Linked DNA regions of Ovis aries. The protein of the gene in region 1 interacts with the protein of each later gene in a biochemical or structural test. Links are inferred from orthologs where the notes say so. Each region holds a gene or a part of one and is shown on either strand. Other genes may lie near its edges.

The links.
Region 2: the proteins of ITK (region 1) and LCP2 form a complex in vitro, tested with the Homo sapiens proteins (2 studies listed by BioGRID, with this or other methods). The link is inferred for Ovis aries from reciprocal best matches to the Homo sapiens genes ITK and LCP2.

Annotation. Positions count from the first base shown.
Region 1 is NC_056058.1:66,504,652-66,514,691, reverse strand, and holds the end of ITK (tyrosine-protein kinase ITK/TSK), read right to left. Parts: intron 9,836-10,040; coding exon 9,664-9,835; intron 9,309-9,663; coding exon 9,092-9,308; intron 8,170-9,091; coding exon 8,105-8,169; intron 8,015-8,104; coding exon 7,896-8,014; intron 4,657-7,895; coding exon 4,499-4,656; intron 3,183-4,498; coding exon 3,111-3,182; 3' UTR 608-3,110; downstream 1-607. UniProt on the Homo sapiens protein: Tyrosine kinase that plays an essential role in regulation of the adaptive immune response. Regulates the development, function and differentiation of conventional T-cells and nonconventional NKT-cells.
Region 2 is NC_056069.1:2,361,205-2,372,027, forward strand, and holds the start of LCP2 (lymphocyte cytosolic protein 2), read right to left. Parts: upstream 5,169-10,823; 5' UTR 4,960-5,168; coding exon 4,882-4,959; intron 4,323-4,881; exon of another isoform or gene 4,061-4,322; intron 377-4,060; coding exon 314-376; intron 1-313. UniProt on the Homo sapiens protein: Adapter protein primarily involved in signaling pathways within T-cells, as well as other immune cells such as platelets, mast cells, and natural killer (NK) cells.

The DNA.
Region 1 (10,040 bases):
TGCCCATTGGCTTGCCTAAAAATCCCATAATTCATCTTTGAAACTGAGTTAGATGTGATGTCTTCTATGGTAGTGCTTCCAAAATTTTAATGTACATATGATCAGATCATGTTAAAATGTAAATTCTCATTCAGTAGATCTCAGGTGGAGGCAGAGAATTTGGGTTTCTTACAGGCTAGTAATGCTGCTGTTGCTGGTCCAGGGACCACAATTTGAGTAGCAAGATTCTAGAAAGTTTCTACTGACATTGCCCTTTGTCTGAGAGATTCCATCTCTTTTTCTGAGCTCTTCTCTACTTTGACCTTATTCCTGTTGTTGCTCTAATTCCCATATTATAATTTTACTTGTGTGTATGTCTGCCTTCTCAACCATACCTGGAATGTAAAGACTGTCTTTTTCATTTTTGTTTCTGCAAAGACAAAACATAGGAAGGAACAAACAAAGGAACATAGGAAGCATTTGATATTTACTTGATGAAAAAAATGTTAAGTGATATATAGTCTTTACTTGTCTGTGTAATGTGAAACTATGTAACCATTATTATTTAAGGAAAACTTTTGGTTGTCTGACATTTGGCTAAATATGGGCCCAGGCTATACATACCATATTCACTAAAATGCACAACTTTATTTGCTAGACCCAGCCTTTAACTTGGTGTGCTTTACAAAGCATAGGAGATATTTGTAACATTTTAATTGTGAATGACTGTACAGTAATAAATATTCACTCTAGTAAAATATAAATACATAGTCTCAAAAGGACACAATGCGGAATCTATCAAATGCATCTACAACCAAAACTTTGCATAGGGGAATTCCCTGTAAACACACGGCACCATTATCAAAATGTGAGGTCGGGGGTGGGGGGGAAGCCAAACAGGCAGGAAGTCCATTTTTCAGAACACTGAGAGGTAAACTTTTGACACGTGTCGAGTTAAAGCCTCAATGAATCTGAGCTTGAACAAGATAATACCACGCAAGGGAGAATCATTCTAAACCATACCACAGAAAATCAGTCAATTCTGATGTTTTCCTTCTAGGCTTGATGTTCCAGAAATCACCTCTAATTAAAGGTTCCGAAAAAGAATGTACAAAATGCCAAAAAAGTAAACAGGGATGATTTTGGATAAGTTGCGGAATGTCATCTTCTGAACGATAGTTTTATCTTGAAGCTACCAGTGTCACGGTAGTTATAGTTAAAAGCTGTGCATCTGCATCACCAGGCAGTCAACATATCACATGATTTAGAAAGCGTTGACTTCAACACCATCCAGCAATCGCTCTGAGAGTTTTATCTGAACACCGTAGGAAAATTAAATCTCTCTCACATCAGGGAATACCCTTTCCCAGAAAGTGTCCAAGAAGACCGCAGCCAGTTCAAAGTTGAAGTGATAATTAAAGGAAGTATTTATACTTCTGCAGGAGAATCTTTTAAAGCCACTTTGAAGCCCATCTATAAAGGGCTTCTTGCAGTATTACTCTGGTGGGTTGGGTGAATCAAAGGGTTAATTACTCCTTTAATAACTCCAAAGTCATTAACTCTAATGAAGGTGAGGATATAGATGAGGAAATAAAGATCCTATTCCAAGTTGGAGGGCTACATCGACAACCACACTGCTCTATACAGGATCAACTTTACTTGCTAATGGTGCCGTGTGGGCTTTTCCCCTCTGCTGTGCTTATCTCTTCTGCAATCTCTTTGACCCTCAGTAGGAGGCAGTATTGAATAAAAATAGAGAAACTGCATTGGCGTCAGACAGAGGTGGGCTCTATATTAACACTTCCTAGCTCTGTCACTTCGGGCAGGTGTCCAAGCTTTTCAAAGCCAAAGTTCCATTATCTGTAAAATGGGAATGATAATAATACCTCACAGTGTTGGTGTGAACTCAGGGTGAACTGAGATTCTGCAGATAAGGCCTGTAGCTCTGTACATTTTCACTTTGCATATTCAGGTGCTCAATAACAAGAGGCATCTTTGTGCATCTTGGAAGTCCCCGACTCAGTACCTGACTCAGTTTCCATCCAGGTGGTTTGAGCAAGAACAGACCTCTTGTTCCTCCCTTAGAATTTAGGGAGACTTGAAGTCTCAACCTTGAAGTTGCAAATCTCTAGGGCCGAAACAAGCTTCAGTTTCTCTACCAGGCCACAGTGCCTGGCACAAGTCTGCACTCTGTTGGTGAGGATGGAAGAATGCAGAGAGGGGTCTGATTGTTTACAGAAGCCATGGTTCCACCCCCACCACTGCCCCCCAACCCAGGATGCTGCGGAAGCATTCGGCATGAAAGGGGAGGCAGAGTCACCTGCTTGACTTGGTACTAAAGATGAGCATCCAAGTGGTAACAGCCTAAGGCCTTTTCTTGTACCAGGTAGTTCCATCATCTGATGCCCTCTTTCTGCCCAGACGCCAGATATCCAATGCTCCAGCAGTGAGATCAGAATTGTTCACCCCAGTCCATCATGCTCTCTTCAAGGAGAGGGTAGCAGTGTACTCTATGAGTAAAACCTCACAAAGCTGCTTCTCAGCATATCCGGTCTCTGAGGTAAGCAATTGTTCCATCATCTTCTGAGGCAGGAAACTGTGGCTGACAGCATCACAGAGGCAGAGCTTACTCTTTGTGACTTTAATTAACTCATTAGTTCTCCTTGAGAAATTGTCATGCTCCTTGATCATCTCGCCCCATATTTTGGGATTCTGTATTGCTGGGTCAAATAAAGAATCCCTTGACCATGAACTTTAGATGCATGTTTAAAAAAATAATGAAGGTAATAATCCAGGGTCCTACACCATCTCTCCCTTCTCTAAGAAGTGCAAGAAGTGTTGCCTTAAAGCTGTTGATTGAGGTTTGTGCATTACGCAGAAGAGGCTGGAGGAAGGGTAGGGACATCACTGCTGCTCTGGCCCCGCCCCCAGTGCAGTGGCTGAGCCTTCCGCCTGTGGCCTGGCGCCAGCCTCTAGCAGGCTGCTGCCTCCGTGGCAGTTTAGGGACTGGCGCGACAGGCCAGTTGCCTCTGGGGAGTCCTGGGCTGGTGGCAGCTTTTAATGCTCTGTGGAGGGAAGACCTCCTTCCCCTACTCAGGATCTGTAGCCCGTGGCCCAGCACTGAGTCTCTTTTAAAGCCCCAGTTCTGCAATTTCAGCCAGTTGACTCAAGAGTCTGGAGAAAGGTGGCCGGTCTTCTGGTTTCTAGGAAGAGAAAGAAAGGTTATTCGGTGATTTCCTTGTACTTGTGTGTCATAGCTAATTCCAAAGCAAACCAGCATTAAACTGCAATACTTTTTACTTATTTTTAAATATGCTTCTGTATATGTTGTATTTGACAGCATTGTGTCTTAGTTGTTAACAGCAGGCATTTTGGAATCAAAATATGGCCTGCTTTTGAATTTCAGCTTTTCCACTTAGCTGTGTGACCTTGAATAGGTTATTTAACGTCTCTGAACCTCAGTTTTTTATCTGTAAAATGAGGATAATAATATTATCTATCTCATAAGATTGTTGAGAGAATGAAATAAAGTCATATATAAAACGTAACATAAATAAGCGCTAAATAGCATCAAAAAATAAATATTTGGGTATAAATCTCATAAAATGTGTATAGGATCTATACTAGGAAAAATATGAAATTCTAAAACAAGATATCAAAGAAGATCTAAGTAAATGGGAAAATATTCCATCTTTGTGTATAGGAAGACTTTATATTGTTAAGATGACATTTGTTTTCAACTTGATCTATAGATTCAACACAATTACAGTAAGAACCGAGCAACTTATTTTGTAGATACTGACAAAATGACTCTAAGGTTTATGTGCTGTGCTGTGCTTAGTTACTCAGTCATGTCCAATTCTTTGGGACCCCATGGACTGTAGCCCACCGGGCTCCTCTGTCCATGGGGATTCTCCAGGTAAGAATACGGAATGGGTTGCCAGGCCCTCCTCCAGGGGATCTTCCCAACCCAGGGATCAAACCCAGGTCTCCCACATTACAGGTGGATTCTTTACTGTCTGAGCCATCAGGGAAACTCCTAAGGTTTATATGGAAAGGTAAAAGACTCAAAATAGCCAACACAACACTGAGCAAGGTGAACAAGGTTAAAAGACTGATACTCCTCGACTTTAAGACTTACTACAAAGCTTTAGTAATCAAGAGTCTGTGATGTTGGTGAAAGAATAGACAGATAAATGGAGTAGAGTTAGGATCCCAGAAATAGGCCTACACAAATGTAATCAAATCTACCCCTTCTTCCTCTCTGACAGTGTGTTGATGGCTTGTACCATTATATTGCAAATCAAATAATATATAAGATCTCTGCCAGCTCTTCTAGAGATAGGGAACTCCTTCTTCCGGTAATAGGTGCTCAACGTCATTTTCTTGCTAATCTGTTTTGTCACCCCTACTGCCTCATCCTCTGAGAGGGCTCCTTCTTTGGGGGATGGGGGCAGACCCTGAAGTTACAGATTATAATGTGAGGGACGGAGAAGGGGGAACCACTTCCTTTACTGACCTCTTTCCAGCAATGATTCATGATCTGGTAGACATGCTGGGAGGCCAGTCGGGGCTTGTATAACCGAAATCCAGTGGTGATGTCTTCTACCACCTCTGAGTTACTGCGGTTTTCATATGGGATTTTGCCTTCACTGAAGACTTCCCACATCAGCACACCTATGAGAAATAGGGAATCAAAACAGGTAGTGATAAAGTTCATAAATAACAACAAACTCACATCTAGAAATCACAGACCCTTTGAAATTGAAATTTGAGTCTCTACCACCAGAAAGTGCAATGTCAAACCACCTAAGCCTTACTGCTGCTGCTGCTGCTAAGTCACTTCAGTCGTGTCCGACTCTGTGCGACCCCAGAGATGGCAGCCCACCAGGCTCCCCATTACCTGGGATTCTCCAGGCAAGAACACTGGAGTGGGTTGCCATTTCCTTCTCCAATGCATAAAAAGTGAAAAGTGAAAGTGAGGTCGCTCAGTCATGTTCGACTCTTCGCGACCCCATGGACTGTAGCCTACCAGCTCCTCAATCCATGGGATTTTCCAGGCAAGAGTACTGGAATGGGTTGCCAAAGCCCTGTACTATTTCTGAAGAACAGAGATTTCCCAAATGAAGAATGTTCAAGCTCAGCCCTTAGTTATATCTAACTCAAATGCTACAACTAAAGTTTGCAGGGGATGTAAGCTCAACTGTCTACACATGATGTAGATGGATGGAGTAAATGAAGTCTGCATAACAGGGACTAGTGAGGACTGTGGAAAACCAGAAGTTAAAAGTTCTGTCCCCAAAGGGACAGCTGTGATTTAGCTCCAACAAGAGTAGGGCAGTTGGGAATGGGGGTTCAGGATTGCCACATTTGTCTGATTTACTTTAAAAGATAAATCATAAATTGGTAGTTTAAAAATGCAAACTCAATTTGATTAAAAAAATACTGTGTTAACTGAGCAAAACTCTTCAAGTTGTCTATTTTTGACCTCTGATTTAATCACTTTTCCTTTTCTGCCTTCAGTAGAAATTACACCCAACTTTACTATGTACTTAAATCTATTCATTGGATGTCACAGTGGGAACAGAGCTTGCAGGTCACCTAATCCAGTAGTTTTCAAAACAGAGTCCAGAGAACTCAAGGGAAGAATTTTGATTCTTCCATTTGATTCAAAATATGATCCCTCAAGTGTCTGAAGTCTTGAAAAATCATGTCAGAAATTTGTCCCAGTGGCAGATCCTGGGGCCCAATCCTGACAATTGGATGAGAATTTCTGAGGGAGCCTCAAAAGTGCCTCGGGAGTTTGGGGAGATTCAGTAAATAAGGCTATTTAACACCCCAAGATGCCAGGATTTCTAGTGAGCTTTCTTTGGAAAATGGGGGTTTGCTGCTCAAAGCTGGCTGGAAAACAATTGCTTTTATGCAAACCTTGTAATGCACTGAGGAACTAAGTACGGCCCCAAAGAGGATAGTTGACTTCTTTAAAATAGCGTAGTTCATTAGGGCAAAAGCCTTAAAATGCGTGACAAAGGCCAATGGCCTTGAGGCAGGCAGCGAGCTCTCCTCCCTCCACATTTCTGTTTCTCAGGGTTGTCACCCCAGTTTTCTCACCCTTCCTACTCTGCTTCCATCAGTCAGCCTCATCTTTGGACACTTCAGATGACGCATCCTAGGAAGGGACAGACTCTAAGCTCAATCCTCTAATTATAAAATGCAGCAGCAAAGTCCTAGGCTGACAACCTGTGGCAGAATAAACACCATTCCGAGTCAGTGGGTCAGTGTGACAAAGTGGCCATGGCTGCAATCGTTTCTTTATGGAACAACTGGCTTGGTGCAACATAACCAGCTGTACCCAGGGAGAGTGGGCACACCCTTCCTAGTTGTATGCACTGGGGCAAAGAGGATCTGAGGTTGCTCTAGTGCAGTTTTATTTCTTCTGAGTTCATTCTGTACCTTCAGTTTGATTATCAAAGTCATAGCTAGGCCTGTTGAACAGAGGAACTACTTTAAGGAACAATTTTTGTTGTTGTTGTGGTTTCGTAGCTAAGTCGTATCTGTCTCTTTTGTGACCCTGTGGACTGTATCCTGCCAGGCTATGGGACATTAAATCCCTCTGTCCATGGGATTTCCCAGGCAAGAATATTGCAGTGGGTTGCCATTCCCTTCTCCAGGAGATCTTACTGACCCAGGGCTCAAACCTTGGTCTTCTGCGTTGACAGGTGTATTCTTTACCACTGAGCCACCTGAGAGGTCCAAGGAACAATTTAGAAGGACTCAAAATAAACATACCACTTGGCTGGTAATGGATATTCTAAAGTACTGAAGAAGACTAATTAGTTCTTTTCCTAAGGGATTTAGTCTTCTCCCTGGTTTCTACTACTAGTCAATATACTTGGCAAATCTTCCCTTCATACAGAATGACAACATCAAACTCCAAACCATTCCTGTCCAAAGTAGAATCCTTACACTCCAGATCAAAGAGGTTGTCCAGTACAGTTTTGTGCACACTTTAATATGCACAGGCTATGATTTACAAAGACATGACACTTCCAGCAAGAACATTTAGTGCTTCTTGTCACATGGGCATCATTCATTCTTTCATTCATGCCCATCTGCACTTATGAGAAATCGAATTCTTTACCATGGCCAACCAATTTCATGGCCTACATTTCTCCTGCTAAGTCAGTACTCCCTTTTCTTTGGACACACCAAACTTTGGCACTTGCTGCTGCCTTTGTTAGGGACACTCTTTCCTGGATCTTCAAATGGAGACATCTTCCTCTCATCATTCAGCTCTCTGCTCAACAGTCACAGAGAATCTTGGAGAGGCCTTCCTGGATGGATCCTGCTATTTAATACAGATCCTCCCTCCATTATAGTCTCTCTTTGCCCCATTACTGCTTTGTTTTTTACATAGCACTTGCTTACTACTCCCTGACTTGACTTTACACACATATTTACTAGCTTGTTTACGTGACTGTTATCTCTCCTTAAAACTTGGCTCCAAGAAAACAGGAGTCTTTTCTATCCTATGTAACAATGCTTTGTGAGCACCCAAATTAGCCCCTGGCATGTAGTAGATGCTAAAAAAATCATTGTTGAATGAAAGGGAAATAAACTCACTGAGGGTTAAATGTGGGAATAAACATAATGTTGCAAAAAAACATGGTTCCTGCCCTCCAGGGACTCATATTCTAATCTTCTGACTCCTCCATCTCTTGATCTCACAGCAGCTGTCATCAGCATCCTGTTTTCATTTTTATTTTTACCCCCATTTCAAAAATAACCAAGAATAAATACAACAATGAGTCTGCAGACCCTCACTGGGATGCCCTCACCATCCCAGCAATTGGACAAATGAAACAACTGGCACACAGTCCCAGGTTGTGTGGGTGTGGGGCCAGAATGACACTTACCAAATGACCACACATCTGACTTGCTGCTGTAGCGACTGAAGGAGAAGACTTCTGGAGATGCCCACTTCACTGGGAATTTGGTGCCTGTGGAACTGGTGTATTGGTCATCAAGGACGAACCTGGGAAGAGAGAGGAGAGAGATGGTCCGAGTGTCCTGGGGGCCTGCGTCCCATTCCTGAGACTTTGCTGGTACCACATCCCCATGTTACCTTGTCATCCCAAAGTCGGACACCTTGATGACTTGGTTTTCCCCAACTAAACAATTCCGGGCAGCCTGGAGCAGAGACAGGCAAACAAAAGGGAAAAGAAAACTTGGTGAGTAATCAGTAATTAAGGAGTCTCCTATAATCACAGTGCTTTGCTTATATGGGAGCAATAAGGAGCTTCACAAATGTTAATTAAGCATCACTAGTGCGCGATGGAAACTGAATGCGTAAGCTCTTTTTATCAGGGTGAGTAAATCTCATCTTTCATCTTCATTCCTGGGATCCTAATCAAAAAAGAAATCCATGGTGTTGTGTAACCAATTATAAGCTCCAGTGCAACCTGATGTGAATCTTAGGGATGGTATGGAGAAGCTGTCATCCATTTGACTAAAGTGAGAATGTATTGAGGTTGCTAATTCTCTTAAAACTATTCCTCAATGGGGAGATGACATGGTCCCTAACTCACATCACAGAGTCTTGGATTTGAAGATCCCTTACTGATAAAAGATCCAGTGAGTCTTAAATTCTAATGTGCCTGCAAATTCCATGGGGTAGACATGTTAAAATGAATATTCCTGCGCCTCAACCACCAGAAATTCTGAGGTTGGTTCTAGGATCACCCCAATGCGATCCTGATAGATCCTTGGATAACATTTTAAGAAAGCATGTGCTTGTCAACTTCTCTCATTTTACCAAGAGGATGTGGAGACATAGAGAGGTTAAGGAGGAGCCGCTGTTAGCTTCATTTTGGAAGAATGTAAACTCCAACTTAGAGAGTGGAAGTTAGAGGTGGGGCTGGGAATAGAGCCCAGAACTGAGTCCCATGAGGCTCTCCCACATGGGTGGAGGAAGGAAGAAGTTGCAACGGGGAGGAAGAAAGCTTGTGCCTTTTTATTGATTCGTGCCGTTCCCAGACTTGGTAGTTCTGCATTTCAGTGGGACATGCCCCTTTACCCTGGACTTGTAGGGTTTTGCCCTGCATCCTCTTACCAAGTCTCTGTGGATGACACACTTCTCTTCCAGGTAGGCCATGCCCTCACATACGTCCAGACACATGCCCAGCAGGGTCTCCGCGGCAAAGAGCCCCCTCTGGCTACGCAGGTAATCTGACAGGCAGCCGTGTTCCATGAACTCAAACACCAGGCAGATGGGGGCCTGTTCCAGGCATACTCCATAGAGCTGGACTAGTTTGGGGTGAGAGAGTTTCCTGGAGAACAATGGCAAGAGTTGAGATGGTCTAAATTCAGTTTCCCAAAATACACTCCCTCCCTCAAACAAAAATGTCTCATTGAGCTGAAGAATGGCGCGGACTCAGCTGGTGTGTGTGAGGACAACGAAGGTCAGTGTGACTGGCATGCATGGAACCAGAGGAGAGATGGGTAGGAGATGAAGTTAAGGAGTGGGCAGGGCCAGACCATGGCAGGCGTTCTAGACCACAGTGAGGAGCTTGGTGTTATTCTCCATGCCATAGGAAGCCATCGCTGGACTTGGGCAGGGAGGTGGCATAAGACGACATTAGAATGGTATTGAAAGATCACAGTGCTCTCTGTGTGGCCACTCACATCATGACTTCAGCCTCCTCAATGAAGTCCTCTTCTGACATAGCCCCTTCTTGAATGGTTTTGATGGCCACCTTGTCCTTGTTGAGCCAGTAGCCAAGATGCACCAACCCAAACTGCCCACTGCCAATCTCCTGCACAAAAGTGAGCTCTGAGGGATCAATCACCCATTTCCCTGGAACAGAAAGAGAGGGTTTTCCAGAGTTGGCAAGCAGTAGATATGAGGTATAGGACTACCAGGAAACTATACTGCTCTATATAGAATGTTAGACTATCGTTAATGTAGCTCAAAGATGGCAAATGGTATAAGCCCTCATACTTAGAACTATAGATAGGTAAAATTATCTTTTTCCCAAATAATTACATAGAATGTGCACTGA
Region 2 (10,823 bases), on another chromosome or scaffold:
TTGAATAGATTTTCAAGAGGGGTATGTGTGTGTGTTAACTGTAATTTGATTCCTAGTTACACTTTGACTTCAGAATGTACCTTAGTGTCAGTGAAAGATGTGGGAGGTATACTAAATAGGAGGATCCTGAGAGGTGATGAGAGAGGCGCTCATACAAAACCCTGAAGAAGGCCTTGGGTTGTACGCGATCCTGAAGACAGGCAATGCCCCTGCGCAGCCTCAGAGACAGGGTAGAAAGTTGGCTCTGCAGCCGTTGGTTAAAGTTACAGAATAGTTTTGGTCATAATGCGTTGAACTAGCAGCCAGCACTCACCAGAAACCGTGGCCCATCGATGTGATGCTTCTTCACGACCTTTTCACAGTCCTTGTAGTTTAGCTGAAACAGAGGAGAGGAGGTGTAACAGTGCAGTCGGGTTCACGCCACTGGCTCCCCGTCCTTGCCTGCCCCAGGAGCTCAGCAATCTGTGGTGCTTGTGGCTAGCCAGGCTCCCCGCTCCCCCGCTGTCTGTCAGAGGCGCCCTATCCTTACATCAGCCCTGCTTTCACTAACTAACCCCTTGGGACTGTAAAATGGAGAAATTGCCTGTCGAAGGCTTTGAGGCCAACCCCTACAGAAAGAACGCTGCTAGAGCTGCCAAGGGCTGGCCATACGCTCCTCCGGCAAATGGAAAAGAGTTGAAAGAAGAAAACAAATAGTAGGCATCATCTGGTCACCCAAAGACAACCCGGGTGAACATGGCAATGTGTTTCCTTCAGTGGTTTTTCCAAAGCATCTTTCTAAACACAGTCAGTGTTATCATTCATATTCAATCTCCTTATCTTGTCTTTTTCTCTTGAAAAATAAAGGCACTGACTCATGTTATTACAAAGTGATTTTGAACATTATTTTAATTTGCTCTATTGCTGAATATTTCGTTATTTCCCCAAATTGCTGCTGTAACAATGATAATTGAAACTTCTAATAATTCCTGAATACTTGCCATATGGTAGGCACCATTCTAAGTGCTTAAAACAATTTTAATCATTTAAGCTTCATATTTTTCAAATGGAGAGTCAAAGGCACAAAGAGTCAAGTAACTTATACAAGGTTCCATGGATAGGCAGGTGGCAGAAGTGACAGCTGGGCTTCAGAGCAAGGTTTTAATGTCTCTATCAGGAGTATTCTCCTTTTAGTTACTAACAGTAAAACTTACAAACGGTAAGTGAACAGACTTAAGTGCAGCTTAACCTACAAGATCAAACAACATCATAGATATTCTTTTGCATAAAATTTTTTCTTCTGTTTTAAATAGTTGAAGTTAGAGTCTCAGAATAGGTTTACCGCCTCAACAGGAATGATCATTTTTAGAACCTGCTGCTTTCCTAGAGTCACACCAATTGACAATTGAAGCAGGTGTCTGTTTGGCCTAGTCCTCAACAGTGTGAGCAGTTACCTTTGAAATATCTCTAAATTTGAGGTTTCTAGCCAGAGAATTTAAGGTAAAATGTTTGTCCTTGAGAATCTCAGCTTCTCCTCGAAAGTATGGATTTCACAGTTTGTGGACACCTTTTTTTGGTAACTTAAAATCACAACCTTTTCTTATGGCCAAGAAATCAAAAGAGTGAGGGCAATTGTTGTGAACTTCATGGGATGACAGAGTAGGGTGAATATTAGAAAGCTCGGAAAAAATGATTTAGTGGTCCGTGGGAAGAAACCAGCTTCTGCATAGCCCCAAACATCCCTTTTATCCATGTTGCAAATGGTGAAATTGTTCTTGGAATGTTCAACTGCCTTTAATTCATCAGTTTCACCACCAGCGTTATGAGCTAAATCTCTGATTTTGCAGAGTTCTGACTTGGACTCTAGATAGACAGACAGTCCCGCAGACTGGGGCCTGCCCGGAAGTTTGGTTCTGAGTCAGTAATATCAGGCCTGGGAGTAAGACCTCTGTCCTTTCAGCATGCATGCATACATACTCAGTCCTTCAGTAGTATCCTGCTCCTTGTGACTCTGTGAACTGTAGCTCACCAGGCTCCTCTGTCCATGGGATTTTCCAGGCAAGAATACTGGGAAATCCAGGGGATTTCCTTCTCCAGGGGATCTTCCTGACCCAGGGATCGAACCCATGTCTCCTGCGTTGCAGGCAGATCCTTTACCAACTGAGATCCCAGGGAAGCCCTGTCTTTTTAGCATATACCCAGATAATTCTTATGAGTGACAAGCTCTGGTTGGCACTGCTCTGAGCAGGTACCTGGTGTTGTGGACAGGACAACTAAGGCCCAGAGAGGGGAAGGGACTGGCTGAAGGTCACACAGTGAGTTGGGGACGCAGCTAGGATTAGAACTCATGGCTCTGATCCAGAGTCTTTTCCGTTGCATGGTCCAAGGATCCCTTTCTGCTAAGTCAAAAGGAATCAGAGGACTTAAAGAAATAGAAAACATGACCTCAATCCTCAAGGGCTTAAGTTCTGGACAGAGGATGAGCTGCACATGTCTGAGACAGTAAGACACAAAAGCCTGCTGGTCTGCATGGAGTCCCCAGGCAGGGTCCGGTGAATAGAGTAGGAGAAAGGGAAGCTCGAACGTGAATCAGACCCCTCTCTGCTGGAGGCCTCACACATGTATCTCCTCTATTTATCCCGACAATCCCACGAGCCAATTACTACGAGTGTCTCTGTTTTACCGACGAGGAAGCTGAGGCACAGAGAGGTATAGTAACTAAGGGAGGGTCAGCAAGTTAGCAGGTGGCGGAGTCGGGATTCAAGCCAAGGTGTGGCTGACTCCAGAGCTGGTTGGGGAGGTGCCTCCAAGGGAGACCTGACCCCAGCGTTTCGTTAGAAAGTAAACCTTCTGGGATTTCCCTGGCAGTCCAGGGGCTGACTCCAAATACAGGATGCTTGGGTTCATGCCACAGCTGAGAGATCCAGCATGGCACAAATCAGATCCTGAACACCACAACTAAAACCCAGCACAGTCAAATAAAGAAACAAAAATTAATTGAAAGGAAGGAAAAGAAAATGGCATGCCTAAGTCAGAGACATGACACATTCCTTAATTTAAAAAAAAAAGAGAGAAATCGCATCTGCCAGTGGGTCTTCGGTGGCTAAGATCCAACCCCAAAGGACGCCACGGTCAGTTCACTTAGCATTTTCTCTCTGGGGGAAGTGAGGTGCTTAGCATTTAAAGGGTGTCTATCTGGGTCTGTAGAAGGGCCAGAACTTCCTAGATCACAAACACCCTTCAGTCTCCTCGTCCCTTCCTTCATGCGGGGAAGGGAACCTGTTCAGTTTCTGTGGACATGATCTGGAGTCCAGGGTCTGTAAGAAAATTCTCTCTTCCCCCAACTGAGGCAGAGAGCAGCTACGTGAGTCATCCTGACCTGCAGGCCATCTCCCTGTCCTGAACGGAACTTGGATTCCTCCGTTGCTGACCTGGGTTGTACAGTTCTCTTTCTCTTATTGGAGGCTGGGCCTCTGGCCCATCAGCCTGTCCCCAGAAGTGCCCTTGATAATTCTCAGTTCTTTTCTCCTTTCTGTATTGATCTAATATGCCAGTTTATAGCATCTTAGTAAATTTCACTGTGGCCCTCAGTTATTTGGTCTAAATTTAAGAAAAGCATTTAGAATAAATACTTTTGACTCTTTCAAAAGTCAGCTATCTCAACGATCTTTGCACCCACTGTGCTGAAACCTAAGGTTATTATGACTTCCAGTGAGGGAAAAATAACCGAAATGAGATGCACAGCAGGCAGCAAATAACAGGATCTGTGGGTTGTGCCTCTACCATGCCACACCCAATTCAACATTTTCACATTTTTCTTAGGGCAGAATAGTTGTGGCACTAAGTACTTTGGCACCATGTAGACCCCAGGTTTGGGTATGTGTTACAGGGAGCCTACCCCATACCAGGAAAAATAGTAAGTTAACTTAGAAAACCTCTAAGGTCATGACTTAAAACCATATCCTTGTGATAATCTGGAGTATCCACTGAATTGGATGCCAGCCTCCAGAAATGGGAGTGTTAAGAGCTCAGAGGTCCCTCACAAGACAACGTATCCCTTGGACAGTCATAGAGGGTCACATGACTTGGGATCTGCCCTAGCAAGCCTGTGACCCATGGCCCCACCAGCAGATGACCAAACACAAGGATCCTTGAGCTCCTTCAAGACGAGAAGGTGGGATAGCAACACTCTGGTCTCAGCTCTGCCACAAGCTTGGCCCCTGACCCTTCCCGGCAAATCTTTTCCTTTTCGGAGGCCTCAGTATCTGAAGGCCTGAGGCTCATGTCATTTCCCAGCCTGCATCATAAGACCCTCATGAAGTTCCCATGAGACTCTGTTCTAGGTAAGTGGTTGAATAGCTCTCTTTCAAAGTCACAAGCAATGACTTGCTCAGACGCCATCTCCAGCATCGTTCATCACAGTCTTCCACCCTGCCTTTCCTCTCTCCTACCCCTCAAGACTCCATGTTTCCTTTCGAGCAAGAAGCCTTGATCTCACTAGCAGTTATAGCGGTTCTGAGTCTCAGGGCACGGACTCTGATACTGGACAGGTGTGACCGGAATTCTGCCTCCATCACATGCAGTCCCTGGGGTTTGGGGCCAGTTAGCTTCCCTTGGCTTATTTCGCAGCTGAGCCAGTAGGACAGCAATCCTGGAGCGAGTTAGATGCGTCCGTGCCTGAAGGGGACAAACTCAAATCCTAGCGTGTAGTAGGCACTCGCCTCTTGAGGGCTTCCCTTCTCCCCAGAACGTATGGCCAGAGAGCTCAGTGTTGCTCCGTCAACCAGAGAGACTGCCCAAGGCTGGAAGCTCCGCTGCTGTCCTTCATGCCTCTCTCATTCTGCCTGCACTCCCTCTTCAAGCCTCTGCCCAGCCCCCCGGCCACTAAAGAGCAAGGCTCACCTTTTTGAAATAGTCTGCAAGGGCGTCAGGGTCCCAGTTCAGGACCTCAGAGCGAAAGGGCACGTTCTTGAATGCCATGTCTGCTCACTCAGGAGGAAGCTCACCAGCTGAGCATGGGCGCTGCACCCATGGACAGAGAACCCCAAATCCAGAGTCTGGAGGTGTCTTCAGCTCTTCCAACTCCCGGGTACCTTCTGGAAAAGTCTTGTTGGAGCCGATGTCCTTTCTGTTGCAGCCAGATCCCAGAAAGCAACAGCTTCCTCTGCGAACAAATATGGTCTCTTCTCAGAAAACGACTCAGCAAGTTTCCTTTACCACTTCCTCTGCTGGGCTCTAAATAAGTAAACAAGGAAGCCCAGCTCTGGGGACTCAAGAGGCAGAAAGAGCTACAGGCTGGTAATTCCCCGCTGGGCCCCATCTACCCCAGCCCAGTAGGAGGAGCGATGAAGGGAACTTAGACACTCAAGTGTGTTTCCATTGAAATCCCTGGCATCCATATGTTTAATATTTAAACCACATTCCTGCTTGGGTGGGTCTTTACAGATGAAAAATCTAATTTGACGGTTCACCTAAAATATAGACAATCTCCCACATCAGTGAAGGGGAAGGAACATGACCTTTCAATGCTTTCCAACCACGACTCAGTTTCTCTCAAAAGTGTTAAGGTTGAGCTTCTTTAGCTGCCCCTTATAGTTAGTACAAGTGGATCCTCTGAGTCAGTGAGTTGGGATCCAGAACTGAGAAAGGAGCACCACTGGGAAGACCTGGGCTTCATTTCTTTCTTTCTTTCTTTCATCTTCTTCTTCATCTGTTTATTTGGTGGCACCAGGTCTTGGCCACAACACACAGGATCTTTAGGTCCAGCACATGGGCTGGAGTTCCGTGACCAGGGACGGAACCCAGGCCCCTGCTGTGCGAGCATGGAGTCTTAACCACTGGACCAGCAGGACAATCCCCAGGCTTCATTTCAGATATACTTGTTTCCATGCTGGGCAACCTCAGGCAAAGGCTTAAACTCTAGGAAGCTCAGTTTCCATATGTGTAAAACAGGAACAGAAAAATTGCTTCATATGCGCATAAAACTATAGATGTATTTAGCTAGACAAACTTAAGGAAGGAAAAAAATAACAATTGCTACTGATGTTGCCATATAGTCTAGTCACTCTTGTTCCCCCAGACATTCTATCTGCTATTTATTCGTCCACATTTCTTTCTAAAGAGCACATCCCTGGAGACAGCAGGTGGGAGTCTGGGTTCTCTCTGTCAGTTTCTCAGACCCTGTGCACTTCTCGTAGCTGAGCATCTCCTGGACTGAGGGTGAACCCAGTGTCAAAAGTAAACATATCCGTGGAACACCACAGGCTCCAATTTCACCGTTCTATCTAGTGCTCCCCAGGAACACACAAACGACTGTCTGTCCTGAGGTTTGAGTCTGTTGCGTTTACTGAGTTGGCCCCTGAAGTGATGGCTTCCTGAAGCTTTTTCAAAGATCGCTTTGGCCATGCAGTTTCCATCGTATACGCAACCTCAGGAGCCCCACCCTCACTGTTATGCACCAACCTCGCCACGTCTTTATGTAAATAAGATCTGCCCTTTATCCCGGACTAAGCATCTTAATGGATGTGGTCCATGAATCTGAGTTAATGTCATCTTTACCTCCAAGGGCGCCAGAGGCATCAGCTGAGGCAGCCCAGGCCGAGCACTTCTCACAGGGCTGGAACCTCAGTGCTCTCTGCAACTGACCATGCCCTAGGAAGCATGGCCTGCTGCTCAAAAGTTCTACCACGGATGGGAGAGGCCCCTTCACTTTTTAAATCCCCAGAAGAGCAGCAAATGATAAAAAGCCCATTTGAAAAGAGAGGAAGAGAGATAAGTGGCTCCACATAAAGAAGTCAAAGAAGATATCATGGAATTAGCTGGGATTTAAGCAGGGCCTTGGAAGAGGCAGCTGAGGGAAGGCATTCTGAACCTGTGTGTGATATGTGACGTGGCATGGTCTGGAGTGTGTCTTGGGCTATGCTTCATGAGCAAACAAAACATTCCACACCTGTGCACCCCTGTGGAAAGGAACATTCGAGATCATCCTCAGAAAGAGAAGCAATTTTTTAAATGACGTTTACCATACTCACAAGAATCCAAATCTACAGAAAATCAGAAGTTGGAATTAACTTACAGCTAAACATGAGGTTCTTTTGGAAGAATTATCCAATGAATGTGGCCAAGATGGACAATCTCTAGACCCACGTAAAAGAGAGACATAGCAGTTAAGAAACCTGCATGACAGTGATGACAACGGGAATCACCAAGAATCACTGTGCAAAGGAGTAGCCCGAGGACTCTGCACTAATTGTGGGCACTGTATCACTCCTGCTCACAGAAGGGAAAACTCAGGCTCCGGAGGTAAAGCTTCTTGCCACCCTTGCACCCAGCAGGTAGGTGGTGCAGCAGGTCTTGTCTGGAACTGTCTCTGAGTCCAGAGCCCCTGCCCTTGACCTCTGTGCCACCTTGGGACTCTGAGATGTTCCATAAATTGCACAAGGTGGAGCAGAGGTTCAAACCCGGCTGGCTCTCCAGAGCCTATGCAGCGTCCTCTCTATCAGCCTGCCTTCCACGAAAAGCAGGCAAGGCTGGCGACCAGGGCTGGTTAAGAAGAGGACGCAGCACTTTCTCCAGGGCAGTTCTTCGGTGCCCCCTTCCCCACAGCGTCATAGACCCACTCCCCAAAACGGGGAGCTGGGCCAGGAATGCAGGTGGCGCAAGGGGAAGTGGGCTGCTTCAGGCTGGAGCCTTCCCACTTCCCCAGTCCTCGGTGATTTCCCGACACTCACGAGTTTCACAGCTCCTATCCCTGGCTGGAGAATTCCAGAAGTTCCAGGGGCGGGGCTAGCTGGACCCCAAGAGAGGCTCAGGATACCAGGAAGGCCAGAGTAACCTGGGGCAGCTCAGCTCACTTGGCCTGGCCTCAAGTTCTGCACCTATAAAATGGGCAGTCGTGAGAGCAGAGGAGATGCTGCGGCGAGGCAGGCTGGGGCCAGCTCTCAGTGGGCCTGACTTCAAGCACGAAGTAGAGCAGAGAGCAGGGAGCAGGTAAGGCTAGGTGAGGTAGAGCCGTGGCTTGGGGGTGGACACCCTCTCCCATCTCTCTCTCCTCCAGCAAGAGGGAAAAGCAGAACTCATGAGGGGTTTTGCTCAAACTGAAAGGTTGTGAAGGCCTTCTAAGGCTTTGTAATCTCTTTCTCCAGGTTAGGGTGATGGTCAATGGTCTGTGCACAATAACAGCAATTCATATCAGTACATGGGGATGGGGGCTCTTGGGGTAGGGATCTTAAATGTACATCCAATAGAGCCTGTGGACAAGAAAGCAAATCTTGCAGGGAGCAACATGTCAGATTTTTAGGGCTTAGAGACAAAAGGTGGCTATGGGAGCAGTGTGCACTGCAACCCAGAGTGAGAGGAGGATCTCCTAATGTGCCCCCTACCCCACCCTGCCCGGTCCAGACTTGCAGCTCTTTTTCCTACTAACCCACAGAAGAATTTGATGAGGAGATAACTGCCTTTCTTCACAGCTAATTTTAGAAGTGAGAAAAACGCGATTTGCTAGAAGAGGCTTGTGGGTTGCAGCCTGGGGGTGGGGGTGGGGGGCGGGGTTGGGGGCCAGGGATGGGAGCTGTCGCTTGAGGACCAGGGGGGAATGGAAACATAGAGACCATGAAGGAGAGCCCGTGTTGACGCGTTTAGGAGAGGGACCCACGGAGCTGAAAAGTGGAAGGCAGGACATGCTTATTCTGATGTGATTTGGACAGAGGGTATTGGCTGGGGAAAAGAGACCAGGTGGTGGCCTGTGGCCCAGAGACAGTGGCACCTCGGGGCACTGCGGGCCATGGAGAGAGTGCCCTCACAAGGGTTCACTCCAGTTTCACCTCCACCAACCTGTTAAGGCTCCATACATCCCCTGGGGCCAAGGCCAATCGCTCCTGGAAGTTTTCCTTGGGGCCTGTCCATGTTTGTCTACAGTGGGAAGAAGAGCTGTAGCTGTCACCTCCCAGGGAGAAGCCCATTCTCTGCTCTGCTCTCCGAGGCCGGCGCTGGAAGCACTCTCTGTGTGCAATCCCTCTGGATACTGAGGGCTCCACCCACACAGGAGGTTCCAAACGGGGGCACAGGACGGGGTCCTGGCCGTTCGGTGAGCTGGCCGTCCTCTGCACCACGCAGCGTGCACTAGACAGAGCGGGCCCTGCCTGGGGCGTGCCTTCCAGGAAGGCCAGGCCTGCAGCGGCCGCCCGTGTGCAGGGACGCTCCTCCCCGTGCTCCTGGAGGCTGGAGTGGGAGTGCGCGGAGCGGCTCAGGCGAGCCCCAGGGCAGCGCTTCTCCAGGCCGCCCTGCGGTTTGTGTCCTGGCGACCACCCCTGTCTGGACACAGTCACCACCCCCCACCCATCCCTGGATACGCAGCAGGAAAGCATGAACCAGTCGCTGCTTGTGAGGTAATGAGCGGCAATAGTTTCCACTTCCTCAGAGCTGACAATTTCATACTTTGCAAAAAATGTGTATTTTTCATCCTCTCTCTGTGTCTCTCTTTCTCGGCTGTTTTGGCTGAGGTGCGTCAGAATGTGGAAGGTGGGTGGGAGGAAGTGCTTATTTGGACTTCCTGTCAAGCCTGTCTTCCTCATTTGCCCTATATTTCACTGTGGGCAGCCTATCCCCAGATAGCTCTGCCGTGAAAGGAAACTCCCCAAGTGCCGGCAAGGGTGGGTAGGCTGTGGGCAGGGAGCCAGAGAGGGGAAGGCAGGCTTCTCAGCTTGATAGAGGAGAAAAAAAACCTTGCCTCCTCCTCCTCCTGCCCCTGCCCAGGCCAGCTGGAGAAAGGCAATGGAGGAGGGGTAGAGTGCATGCAAGAAGAGCAATGCTCCCCGAAGCCCCACAAAAGTGACTGTGGCCCACTCTAGCCCACCCTCCCAGGGAGAGCATGCCCACCCCTGTGTGCTCAGCTGCTTCAGCTGTGTCCCGCCCTTTGTGACCCCACGCACCGTAGCCCGCCAGGCTCCTCTGTCCACGGCGATTCTCAGGCAGGAATACTGGAGTGGGTTGCCGTGTCTTCATCCAGGGGACCTTCCCGGCCCAGAAATGGAAGCTACTCTTCCGTCTCTTGCATTGGCAGGCGAGCTCTTGACCGCTAGTGCCATCCGGGAAGCTCCGCCTGCCCCTGAGACGAAGAGATTTGCAGCCGACAAGCCCAGCAGCCCGGCAGGGATCAAATCTGTTATAGCTCTCAGCGCATTTCATCCTCACGAAAGACCTGTGAGTAAGTAGATACGCAACTTTATAGACCCTGAGAGACCAGAATTCACGTGCCCAAGTTTCCATGGCGAGTCAGTATGGAGGGCGAGTGCCAGCTCAGGGCCAGGCAGATTTCCGTCTGTTCTTCTCTCACTTGTCTCTCCTGTCTTGACAAGTCCCTTAGCTGTTGGTGTTCACTCTGAATGTTCCTGCCTCAGTGTAGCCCTGGCGCTTGTGGCCACCGTGCTATTTCTAGAGCCCCTGATGTTGGCTTCCTTGACCATATCAGGGCCCTGACCATCAGTTTTGTATCTGACCTTCCAGATTTTTGACCCAGAGTGCACCTTCCAAATAGCAGAGGCACCTTGTTTGGTCTCTTCAGTCCATTACACCTTCCTATGGGTGAAGGTCAGAGTTTCCCACGACTCTGTTCCTACAGACAACGGATCCCTTAGAAGGAGTGCATTAGGGTTTTGGAGCAAAAAGGATGCATCTAGAAAACAGGTAATTTGTCGATGCAGCCCTTCTGTGAAACCTCAAGGGTTTGGAGAAAAGAAATTCTAGAATCTTCTTCTATAATACTATGTGATCTATTTGACTGCTCTTTGCAAAAGAAAGATAGGGGCATATGTGCGCATTTTACAGATTGTAAGAAAGAGCGAATG